Linked DNA regions of Canis lupus familiaris. Each later gene encodes a partner of the first gene's protein in a complex. Links are inferred from orthologs where the notes say so. Each region holds a gene or a part of one and is shown on either strand. Other genes may lie near its edges.

The links.
Region 2: STRIP1 (region 1) and STK24 share a complex: the UniProt entries of both Homo sapiens proteins name them as parts of the core of STRIPAK complex. The link is inferred for Canis lupus familiaris from reciprocal best matches to the Homo sapiens genes STRIP1 and STK24.
Region 3: STRIP1 (region 1) and STK25 share a complex: the UniProt entries of both Homo sapiens proteins name them as parts of the core of STRIPAK complex. The link is inferred for Canis lupus familiaris from reciprocal best matches to the Homo sapiens genes STRIP1 and STK25.

What each region holds. Positions count from the first base shown.
Region 1 is NC_049227.1:42,374,588-42,378,228, reverse strand, and holds part of STRIP1 (striatin-interacting protein 1), read left to right. Parts: intron 1-464; coding exon 465-536; intron 537-1,023; coding exon 1,024-1,098; intron 1,099-1,322; coding exon 1,323-1,420; intron 1,421-2,632; coding exon 2,633-2,759; intron 2,760-2,970; coding exon 2,971-3,071; intron 3,072-3,641. UniProt on the Homo sapiens protein: Plays a role in the regulation of cell morphology and cytoskeletal organization. Required in the cortical actin filament dynamics and cell shape. Part of the striatin-interacting phosphatase and kinase (STRIPAK) complexes.
Region 2 is NC_049243.1:48,761,850-48,765,490, reverse strand, and holds part of STK24 (serine/threonine-protein kinase 24), read left to right. Parts: intron 1-41; coding exon 42-150; intron 151-446; coding exon 447-604; intron 605-3,641. UniProt on the Homo sapiens protein: Serine/threonine-protein kinase that acts on both serine and threonine residues and promotes apoptosis in response to stress stimuli and caspase activation.
Region 3 is NC_049246.1:51,489,467-51,493,853, reverse strand, and holds the start of STK25 (serine/threonine-protein kinase 25), read left to right. Parts: upstream 1-1,499; intron 1,500-1,735; 5' UTR 1,736-1,749; coding exon of another isoform or gene 1,750-1,821; coding exon 1,822-1,851; intron 1,852-4,387. Other genes in the region: EZH inhibitory protein-like, read right to left, coding at 1,208-1,499, 1,750-1,823. UniProt on the Homo sapiens protein: Oxidant stress-activated serine/threonine kinase that may play a role in the response to environmental stress.

The DNA.
Region 1 (3,641 bases):
GTTTTTTTTACACACACGTATCCCTCCACATGGGAGGAAACATCAAGTGGGGAAGAGGTATCTCCCCTAACAACATGTCAAGAGTGTAAATGTTGATGATATGTTTTTGAAATACGTTTTTGAGATTTGTACAAATGGGCTAAGCAGGCCCTGTGCCATTAGGCTATTTGAGGACTTGGTTCTGAGTCATTGACTCTCCCTTTAGTGGTTTTCTCGTATCTCTTTAGTTATCTGGAAGTCCCTTCTTTCCTTTGTTTTTTCCTAATCTATTGTGTGCTTTTTAGACTGGGTTTAAGAAATATGTGTCCACTTAGAAAAATATTTCAGGATTTGAGTTAGGGATTTTTGTGGTGATGTTAGCTCTCTTTGAGAAGATTGTGTTTGAAGAAAACCGCATGGGGTCTTTGCCAGGGTGTGCGGCTTTGGCCAGCGAATGAGGGGTGTTTCCCCCGCTCTCTCTCCAGCACAAGTACACATCGATTGCAGAGGTCCAGGCGCAGATGGAGGAGGAGTACCTTCGCTCTCCTCTCTCAGGGGTGAGTCTGAGGCCTTCTCCAGTCGCCACCCACTCCCCTGCTGTTCCCAGGCACTGGGCTGGGCCCAGACCACAGAGCTGCCCCAGGCCCTGCCCTCGAAGCTCCCAGTCTCTCTCCCATTGCAGGGGTGGCGGGTTATTAGTATGAGGGTCAAGAGCACAGACTCTGAGCCCATCACCTGCCTCTGACTCCCAGCTCCCTGACTTGGTAGGTGGTCACTTAGGCAAGTTACTGGATCTCGCCGTGCTTTAGTTTCCTCACCTGTGGAATGGGAATAATAATAGCCTTCTTCACAGAGTTGTAGTAAGGATTAACTGAGTTATTACAGGTAAAGTGCCTCACAGGTCGTATTATTCAATGTTTGCTGTCGTTATCAACATCTTTATTTATATCACTACTTACAGATTCTCCTCTAGCCGCCTAGCAGGCTGGCTCAGGAGACCCATCAGGACTGGGGTTTTGTATTTGTGCCTAATTGTGTTAAAAGGGAGAAGAGGAAGTTGAGCAAGTACCTGCAGAAACCCTCTACCAAGGCTTGCTTCCCAGCCTGCCTCAGTACATGGTGAGTGCCCCTGCTCCTGGGGCCTTGCCACCTCTTCAGGAGTCCTCTGGGTCTGGGACCCCTTTAGTGGCCATGCGTAGGTACTGCCGCGGGATCGCCCTCCCCACTACACTGGCCTTGAGAGCACGCTCTGCCAGTGTCCTTTAGCCCCTCCCACCGCCCATTTGAGCTCCTCTGGAAGGACCACCTCTAAGGGCTTAGGGCTGCTTCTGCTTCTCTGGCAGATCGCACTGCTGAAGATCTTGCTGGCTGCAGCCCCCACCTCAAAGGCCAAAACAGACTCAATCAACATCTTAGCCGATGTCCTGCCTGAGGAAATGCCGTGAGTAGCTGGGTAGCATACCGGTGAATGGAGCAGGGCAGAGGCTGCAGGGTAGAGGGGAAAGGCAAGGTTTTCCTCTCAGGTCCCACTCTTTGTTAGGTTGATTTCTCTCTTTGACTCACTTTCTCTGTGGGTTAAGTTTAGGGTATTCCTGGCTCAGAAGAAAGAAACTGTATTGGATTAAATACTTAATTTTACTGGTTGGGGAAGTGGCTTTGTGTGGTAGGCCCGGATTCTGGTGTAGACTCTGCCATTGAGTGAACTGGGGAAAAGTCATTTCCTCCTCTGTAAAATGAATCAGGCTGTGTTTGACATTTCCCAAACCCTCCCTCGAAAGCTGTGTGATCATCCAGGACTACTGTACATTTTACCGGCCAACAGCTGAACTTGAGCTGGGTGTGGATTCTTTTCTATTTGCTGTTGATTTGGCATGCAGGATATTTGTGGATATCTCAGGGTGATAGTGAAATCCTTAGGGGTTCTTTTTCCCTGGGGCACTGACCTCATCGCTTTGATGTGAGAGTTCAAACCGAGATCATTTTCTGCTTTGAGAAGGACCTGGGCCTTGATCTGACTTTCTGCTTGCCTGCCTGCCAGTACCACCCAGCTCTGAACCCAGCTCCCCGGGGGCTGGAGCCCCTTGAGTCTGGCCATGATAGCCAGGTGAGGGAGGAGGCAGGGATTGGTTAATACCAAAGGGAGCGTCCTAGAACACCAGGCCATCATGATGGTCCTTGGAAGAAGGGTTCCAGAGTCAAATACTAAATTTCACAGAGATTTACAGTGCAAGGCCCTGAATTAAGAAACAGTTTAACTTAGTGCTTCTTCAGTATATCTGACTCCAAAGCCCTTTTTTCTCCCCAGTATGAAAAGCCTCAATGTACTAGTATTCCACAGGATACACTGGGAGGGACCCAAGTTCATACAGTAGCAAAAGCTTAGGAAGAACTTGGAAAGGAGTTCATTTTGCGAGGAAATCAGAGAAATAGGCTAAGAATGTGTTTGGGGCCTCACAAGAATTGTGCTGAGCTGGATTGCTTGTGAGGCAGGTAGGAGGAGCCCAGGGCCTGATATCTGAGATGCCCACGAGGGGTGGGTGGTGAGGTGGGGGCCTTTGCCCAGGGAAGGCTCAAGAATGCCATCTCTCCCACGAGCATCTAGAAGGGCTGTGCTGTACCTGCTGGTGGCTCACCCTGGGAATTGTGTTTCCAGCACCACAGTGTTGCAGAGCATGAAGCTGGGGGTGGACGTGAACCGCCACAAAGAGGTCATTGTTAAGGCCATTTCTGCTGTCCTGCTGTTGCTACTCAAGCATTTTAAGTTGAACCACGTCTACCAGGTACCTGCAGGGCCTTCCTTCCTGTTCCCTGGGCCAGGGCCTCAGGCAGCACTACTCCTCCAATCCTGAAAAATTCAGGCCTTGACCTTCAAACCTCTTTGAACTCTGCATGAATGTTTTAAGACACAGTCTTCCAACCAAGGCCTTTTATCATTGGAGGAAAGAGGGCGAGGTCCTAAAGGGCATACTTACTTTTTTCTGTTGGTTTCAGTTTGAATACATGGCCCAGCACCTGGTGTTTGCCAACTGCATCCCTCTGATCCTAAAGTTCTTCAATCAAAACATCATGTCCTACATCACCGCCAAGAACAGGTGATACGGGAGAGGGAGCAGGGAGGGGTGGGTGTGGCCAGGTGGCAGGGCTCCTGGCCGGCCTCCTCTGCTGAGCCCACTCAGCCCCTGCAAGCCAGCACTCTCCCGGGCCTCAGCACAGGGACCGCAGGGACCGACCCCTGCTGTGGAGAGTGCCACTGTGTCAAGTCTGAGTCTAGCCACTCCAGTGACAGGTGGCACAGTCCGCCTGGGTGGGAGGGTTCTCAACCTGGGTTCCAGTACTGTCCTCAACTGTTTGGTGTTTCTTTGAGGAGACTGGCTGGGCCTCCTGCTCTCTGAGGAGCTCTGCCACGTGCACCGTGAGCCCTTGTCTGCCCCCTCCCCCACCTGCTGCCGGCTGTAGCTGATGGCGCAGCACAGGGTGAGGGCGGTTGGCCAGGTGCTGTCTCCAGTAGGGGCTTGGCATGCATTAACTGCCTTGAGAAATCTTCCCCATTTCTGCAGATTTGCTGCTGTAGGAGAGGAGGGCCTCTGGACCTTACAAGATGGCTACCTGGTCTTTGGCCATGAGAGACCCTATAAGTTCTCTGGTAGCAGGGATTTTTTTTT
Region 2 (3,641 bases), on another chromosome or scaffold:
CTAAGATGATCATTTAACTTTAATCATTCTTTTCTTATTAGTTAGAACCTGGCCCTTTAGATGAAACTCAGATTGCTACTATATTAAGAGAAATACTGAAAGGACTTGATTATTTGCATTCAGAGAAGAAAATTCACAGAGATATCAAAGGTAAGAAAAGATCTTTTATTCCTTTGAAATCCTAAGGCGGGTGGGATTATGTTGTAGAGTTAAATATGTACCGGTCTCCTCGTTGGAGGTTGTTCTGTGTGTATTTGAGGGGTGCCTTTGACATGCCTGGGGCAGGGGTGGCTTTGAGGAGGATCTCCCCAAAACCGTACCTTTAGTGCCTGCTCTTGTTGAGCACAGGATGTCCTTGGCGAGAGAACGTGTGCATTCCTGACGTGGTAACGGACAGAGCAGCACAGCACATAATATCAGGAGGCATCTTGGGTTTTATTTTGCAGCTGCCAATGTTCTGCTCTCTGAACACGGAGAGGTGAAGCTGGCTGATTTTGGGGTGGCGGGCCAACTGACAGATACCCAGATAAAAAGGAATACCTTCGTGGGCACCCCCTTCTGGATGGCACCCGAAGTCATTAAACAGTCTGCCTATGACTCAAAGGTAAGGGCCGCCTCTTCACATTCGCTGGCTCTAGAGAGTCATCCTCGTCTGTGCTTTAGCCTCGCAGCTTTTCCAGGTGGAGTGAAGCAAGTTCCTTGAAGTAGGACATAAAGGTAGTTCCCTCAGACCTTGATTAAAAACAGGTTTTATCTCTCTCTCTCTCCTACATTTCATGTCCTTTATTTTTATTTTTATTTTTTTTAAATTTTTATTTATTTATGATAGAGAGAGAGAGAGAGAGGCAGAGACACAGGCAGAGGGAGAAGCAGGCTCCATGCACCGGGAGCCCGACGTGGGACTCGATCCCGGGTCTCCAGGATCGCGCCCTGGGCCAAAGGCAGGCGCTAAACCGCTGCGCCACCCAGGGATCCCTTTTATTTTTATTTTTAAAAGATTTTATTTATTCATTTGAGATCGAGAGCATGAGCTGAGAAGCAGACTCCCCACTGAGCATGGAATCCGTGTGGGGCTCCATCCCAGGACCCCGGGATCATGACCTGAACCAAAGGCAGACCCTTAACCGACTGAGCCACCCCACACCCCTCATGTCCTTTATTTATTCAGCCCACAGTTACAAAGTTTTTCGGTTAAACACTGTGGCTTAATGGTGGTGGGGAACACTTGAGAAGGAGCACGTTGGAAGGTGGGGTGTGGAGGAACTCTGAGCCATATTTAAGGCACAGGCAGAGAAAGAGGTCCTACAAAAGAAATGGAGACCTCACAAAAATATAAGACCAGAAACTGCATTGCTACATATTCTTTCTTGTTATTTTTAACTCTCAGTTAGGATTGTTATTCCTAATGTAAGGCAAACCATAATTCCTTTTATCTACCTTTTTATCTGTTATCAGTTGTAACCCCTCAGTTTTTCCTGGGTTCTATTTTCCCTGGTGCCTTCAACTAACTTTCTTTTCTCTTTTCTTCTTTCCTTTTCTTCTTCTTTTTTTTCTTTTTTCTTTTTTTCCTTTTCTTCTTTTTTCCTTTTTTCTTCTTTCCTTTTCTTTTTTCCATCTTTCCTGATTGATTGATTGATTTAAAGAGAATGTGAGAGGGGAGTGGGGTGAGGAAAGGGAGAGAGAATCCTCAAGCTGACTTCCAGCTGAGCACAGAGCCTGATGTAGGGCTCCATCTCACGACCCTGAGATCCTGACCTGAGCTAAAACCAAGTGTCAGACACTTAACTGAGTGAACCACCCAGGCGTCCTCTTCAACTTTCTTAAACTTCTTATAGACTAAAAAACTTAGGGATCTTGCCTTGAGAATCTCTGATTTAACCCCCCTCTCCTCCCAGCTGCTCATTCTCAGATTGTACACAAAGTAATTTTCACATGGTTCACAGAGAATTGTCTCTTCTGACCCAACAGTTTCTAGGTGAACAAATATTTAACTCACATACATTTGTGGGCTGGTCATTGTTTCCTCTTTTTAAATGAGGATCTTCTCAATATACAGTAGACTTCCCACCTTGTTCAGCACAGCCCACAGAACACACAGTAACCTTTCCTCCAGCCTTCAGGGCACCATCATGAGCCAGCTGTTTGAAGGGCCTATGTAGTACCAGAGTTGCAGGTGGACCTGGTGTTAGTATGGTAGAGACGGGCTTGGCTCTCTTACTTTTGGGTTGTAGTCGTGGCCGTCACTGCCATAGACATCCCGGTGGCCTTGGTAGCCAAGGCCACTGTTGAGTTTTCAGCCCCCAGGGTGACATAGCGGTGTCTTTGTGCCTAGTGCTTGTTAGCATTTCGCCCTGTGGGAGGGATCACCTCCAGAGTAGTCTCTGCAGCCACTACTGCTGCTGGGGTCATAATCATTTTAGGACTTGACAGGAACATCTGTGTTCAGTTCTTTCTCTTTATTCTAGGCTGAGGCCCATTTATCAAAGTTCATAGAACTGGATTTTGATGGGCACTAGAATCCAAATTGTTCAACTCCTCTGATTACCCTACACTTATTACTTTCTTCCCTTCCTGGTACATGAGCTGATCAATCACAGTGCTTGTGAATCAGGATTCAGATCTTCTATTTTCAGGATTAAGCACCCATCACTGCTCACTTGATGGGTTATAAGGACTCCTCTGAAGTGTCCTCCTTGCCCAGACCTTCCCCTTCCTGTCTCTCTCCTTCAGGCCACTCTGGATGTGTGTTCAAGATTTGGCCCCTAGCTCTTGTCAAGAACAGAACACTCAAACCCTATCTGTAGGTGTTGCAGTATTCTTCTTAGGTAGATTTAAAGAGTCTCCAGCTTGAGGGGTACACACTTGGTTGGGAGCTTGAAAAGGTATGCCACTCTTTTCACTAGTGTTTGTACCTCTTACTCTGGCCTGTGTCAGAAGCTAAATCTTTTATTTGGGTCATGCCCAACACCTCTTCACTGAAAATCATATGCAAATATCATGTTTATGTCAAGTTTGCTTCCCAGATTTGTTGATCCCCAGGAGGCATGGGAAGTACAGATAAGGCTGATGTCAGTGTTTTGAGTCTGGGGCCTTGAGGATAATGTGACATTCCTTCTCTCCCATTAGGTGTGGCTCTGGGCTAGTAGCTTTTGTCATGATCAGTACCTGACAAAGGAACTTTTTTCTGCATTTGCTTTGTAGATAGCCTTCTAGTGACTGCCCCCATTCTCAGAGGCTTGTCTGACAGGGTAGTTGATGCTCATTTTGGTTACTCTGGTCTCAGGATATACAAACTTATTTGGCTTCTTTCCAATTGCCCCTTCCACTCTTTTCCTAAGGTGTCCATCCAGATGTTTTCCCCAGTGGTCTTTGCATTCCACTAAGGAGCTCACAGCCCCAGGGTGGCAGGATTGTGTTAGCATTGTTAGGACCCCATGCTCCCATCATATTTTGTTTTAGTACACTCACTGATTTTTCAAAGGACGGTCAGGTTGGGGTAAAGCTAGAATGCACCTGCCTCACTGGTTTCTTCATCTTACTGAACCTAAAGGGAGTGTAAACCTTAGTTTTATGTACATCTAGAACCTTGTTTAACATAATGGCCTCTTGAGCCAGTATCTTTGACCCTTTGTCATTTGTCT
Region 3 (4,387 bases), on another chromosome or scaffold:
AGGAGGGAGAGAATCCCCGACCATGAGATCATTACTGGAGCTGAAACCAAGAGTCAGATGCTTAATGGGTGGAGCCACCCAGGTGCCCCAGGCATAGTGGGATTAAAAAAAAATTATTCACTTAAAACTTAGAGAAAAAAAGATGTATTTATTTGAGGGAGAGGGAGGGAGGGAGAGCGTGAGCTCTGCACAGGCGTTGCGGGAGGGGCAGAGTCTCCAGCAGGCTCCCTGCTGAGCGCGGCTCCATCCCGCTGACACCAAGGCCTGAGCTGGGGCCAACAGTCGGTCGCTCAACCCACGGAGGCCCCAGGTGCCCCAGCATAGAGTTTTTGTTTTTTATTCTTATTTTTTAAAGAGTTTATTTATTCGTGAGAGAGAGAGGGGGAGAGGCAGGCCCCGTGCAGGGAGCCCGACGTGGGGCTCGATCCGGTCTCCGGGTCACACCGGGGCTGAAGGCGGCGCTGAACGCTGGGCCCCCCGGGCTGCATGGTTTTGAAGGCTCGTGTTGTAACGCGTGTCAGAACTCAGTTCCTTTTCTGTTTCATCGCATTTCGCGTAACTTACAACACGCAAACGATTACCCGCGTCAGCAGTTCTGAGGACTGAGCGCCCGGCGTCCAGGGCCCTCGCCTCGCGGAGAAGCCGCGGCGCCGATCGCTGACCCCCAGGCCCGGTGCCCGCCCCCGCCCCGGTCCCGGCTCCCTGCAAAGCCGACCCCGCGGGGCTTCCCCACCTGCGCCGTGGCGTCGCCCGCCCTGTCCGCTGGTCTCCCCCAGCCCGTCCCCAGGCCGTCCCGCGGCTCCAGGCCACAGGGTCCCTCCTTCCCCAGGCTGGTGCTCCCCGGCCTGCGCGCAGCACCGCTCGCTCCTCGCTCCTCCATCAGCCGCCGCGGAGATGCCCGGGCCGCGCGGCCGGGCAGGGCCTGGGAACAGGCGGCACCTCCCAAGGCGGCGGAGGGGACGGAAGGGAGGAGGGGGGTCGGGTGGGGGTCGCGGGGCGGGGGGAGGGGAGGGGCCGCGGGAGGACGCTCGGCCGGGGGCCGCCCCAACCCCGGGCTGCACGCCCCGCCCCGGCCCCGCCCCGGCCCCGCCCGCCCCCGGCCCCGCCCCGCCCCGCGGCCTGCTGGGAGACGTGGTCCGCGGCCGCTCAGGAAGCCCGACTCCGAGTCCCGGCGAGCCCCGCGACACCGCCCTGCCGCGAGGCTTACCGGGACTTGTAGTCCAGCGCCCGCGGGCACCGGGACGCGCGGCGAGCGGCGGAACTCGGTGTCCCAGAGACCCCCGCGCTGGGCCACGACGTCGCGCGCCCTCTCGCCGTCGCCGCCGCTGGGCTTTCTCCGGCCGCCGCCGTCACTGCCGCTGCTCCGGGGCTGGAGGGCCCGGGCGTCCCCGGGCGCGAGGAGGCTGCGGGTGGGAGCCTTCGCGGGCGCTGAGGAGCGGGCCGGGGGAGGCCGGGATGGAGCCCCCCGGAGGTGGGCGCGCTGCCGGGTGGGCCCGCGCCTGGGGCGGTTGGGCGGGGGCCGGGCGGTGGTCGGCGGCGGGGCGGGCGGCGGGGGCCGGGGGCGAGCGGGGGGCGCCGGGGCCGGGGCGGGGCTCGCGGGGGGCGGGGCCGGGGTCGGGGCGGGGGGCGGGGCCTGCCGGGGGCTCGCGGGGGGCGGCGGGGTCGGGGCGGGGTCGGGGCCGGGGTCGGGTCGGGGCGGGGCGTGGGCGTGGGCGTGAGCGCGCGGTCCTTGCAGCGGCCTAGGCGGGCGGCCGGGCTCCGGAGCGGCGGGCGGGGTCTCGGGCCGCCGGAGGCCGCGGACGGTCGGAGGGCGTCGCGGACATGGCTCACCTGCGGGGATTCGCCAACCAGGTAGGAGGCCGGGCCGGGCCGGGCGGGGCGGGCGGGGCGGGCGGGGCCGGGCGCGCCCCGGAGGACGGCGGCTCGCGGGGCCGGGCGAGGCGGGTCCTGCCTGTGCCCGAGCCGCCCCCCGGCCTGGAGCCGCGCCTCCACCTGCTCCCGGTGCCGGTGCCGCGAGCTGCGACGCCCCGGGAAGGACACCCGCCGCCCGCGCCGCCGGCCCCGAGCAGACGCGCCCGTTTGGAAAAGAATCATCGGGTTGAAGGAGACGAGCTCGCTTCCGTGGCGGCCGCTCCCCGCCTGGGCCGCGGCGACCCGCTGCCCTGCCCCGTGACCAGAAGCGCGGCCGGCCCTGCCCGCAGCCCGGGGCCGCCCGGAACCAAGCACCGCGTCTTGCCGAAGCGGACAAGCTCTCCTAGCCCGAGAGGAAAGAGGGCCGCTGGCGGAGGCGCTCCCGGGCCCCAGAAGCAGCCGTCGGGGCGAGGGGTCTCTGTGCCCGGGCTGACCGCGGTGGGCGGCCGGGCCACCCCTGCTGCGGGGCGCAGGGCTGGGGGCGCGGGGCAGGGCCCCAAGGGGGAAGCCGTCGTCCTTTAGAGGCCAGCACACGTGGCCTTTGTCCGGGGCGGGAAGCCTGATTTTCTCAAGACACTTGTGCTGTGACCCCGTGGGGCGCCCCTGCCTAGCCCGAGGGTCCCCGCCAGCTGGTTCCCGCCCTGCCTGCTGCCTGGTGGTGGGAGTGGCCTCGCTCCCTTCATCTTGTGGGGCCACAGACCTGGCCTGCTGCAGGGCTGGGGGACAAGGGTCTCAAGTCTCAGGTCACTCAAGCCTTGAGGGATCGTCCAGACCGTGTGCTGTGCGTGGCCTAGAAAAGCAGCCGAGACGCAGGAGCTACGCACCTTCAGCCAGGGGGCTGGAGCGGGTGGTCCCTGTGATGTGCTTGTGCTATCGGGCCTCGGGGCGAGGGTTGGGGTCGAGGCCTGGAGCTGCGGCTCAGGGCTCCGCGTGTGCTCCCCCGGGCCAGGGGGGTCCAAGCGCCCCGTGTGGGGTCTCCCTGGTTGGGCTGTCGTGGTGAACCGACCCAGCTCTGGGCCCTCCTGGACAGTGACATAGTGTCCTCAGCAGGGCTGACGGGAGCAGAGGCACGGGACGCGTCGCCCACGGAGGCCTGAGGGTGCAGAGGGGACCCCAAGGCACAGCGGTGCTGACTGGTGCTGCCAGGTTTTCTTAGGACAGAGAACACAGCGCCACGGCACCAGCTGGACCACAATCCCTGGGCAGCCCCCACGCCCACGCCTGGGGCGCTGAACACATGGGCCCAGGTGGCCAGGTCCCCTGTGACGTCCAGGACTGAGCAGGGGATCGCGAGCTTCCCCCCAGAGGCGGAGGGCGCTCTCCCGGCAGACGGCCTTTTCCTGCTGCCCAGGAGTTGCTGGCAGACCCCAGCCAGGCCTCTGAGGTCGGGGTGGGTGCTAATCGTGGGATCCACGTCCCCGTCCGCACACTGCAGACAGCCAAGCAGCTGTGACTCACGGCCACGTGCCTAAGTGGCCTTGGGTTTCTCCAGAGCGTGTGCAGCAGGAACAGGTGCGTGGTGGGTGGTCCCCACGCCCGCTCCGGGCTGGTCTCGGCTCTGCTGAGGACAGAAGACAGCGCCTCACCGGCCCGGCGGGAGGCCCGCACGTCCATCGGCCCTGCCCCGAAGGCTGTGCTGCAGCACAGCCCACGGCCCGTGACCCGGAGTCCCAGCCGGGAGTCCCCGCCCCCGGCTCCCGCAGGTGCCCGGCGCGGGCGGCCCTCAGTCCTCTGCCTGGAGCTCAGCCGCAGTGGGGAAGGGGCCGTGCGTGCCGCGTGGGCCTGCGCACCGTGGGCGAGGCCGCTGGAGTCCCCGAGCTCTGGCTGGCGGGGAGCCGAGGGGGCTCGTGTGCGTGGAGGACCCTCCTCGGCGCTGTGGGCACCCAGCAACCCCGGGCGGGCCTTCCCTCACAGGGCCCACGGCAGTCGGGGCCGATGGGGCTCGGGGAGCTGGATTTGATTCCTTTTCACGCGTGGCTGCTTTAGACGCCCTCCTGTGACAGGCGCGTGGGCTGTGGGAGCAGGGCCTTCTGGCGGAGGCGCCTCCTGCGGGATGGGAGTCGCGGAGCCTCAGGAAGGCCCTTCTGCCCCCGTCTGGGCAGGACGCCAGGCCCCAGCCTCGGCTCCCACACTCGGCCCCGGGCCTCGGCCCTGCGGGGCTGGGGGCTCCCGGGGACCCCGTGGGTTGCCTCAGGGCCAGTAGTGGCCTGCGCCCTGGAGCCCGGGGCATCAGCGCCCCTCTCGGAGACCCCGTGGAGCTCTGTTCCCCGTGTCCCGGTGCCCAGGCCGCAGGGTGCTCGCTGGGCCTCAGTTTCCATCTGAGGCCCGAGTGCGGTAGTCTCCCGAGATCCAGGGTTAAGCACCCGGAAAGCCTTGGTTTGCAGCTCGTGGCCCAGGGGTCTGAGGGCCGCAAAGGGAAGCCCCTCCTGGGCCGTGGCCTCCTGGCACCACCACGCGGGCCGGCTTCATATTCTGA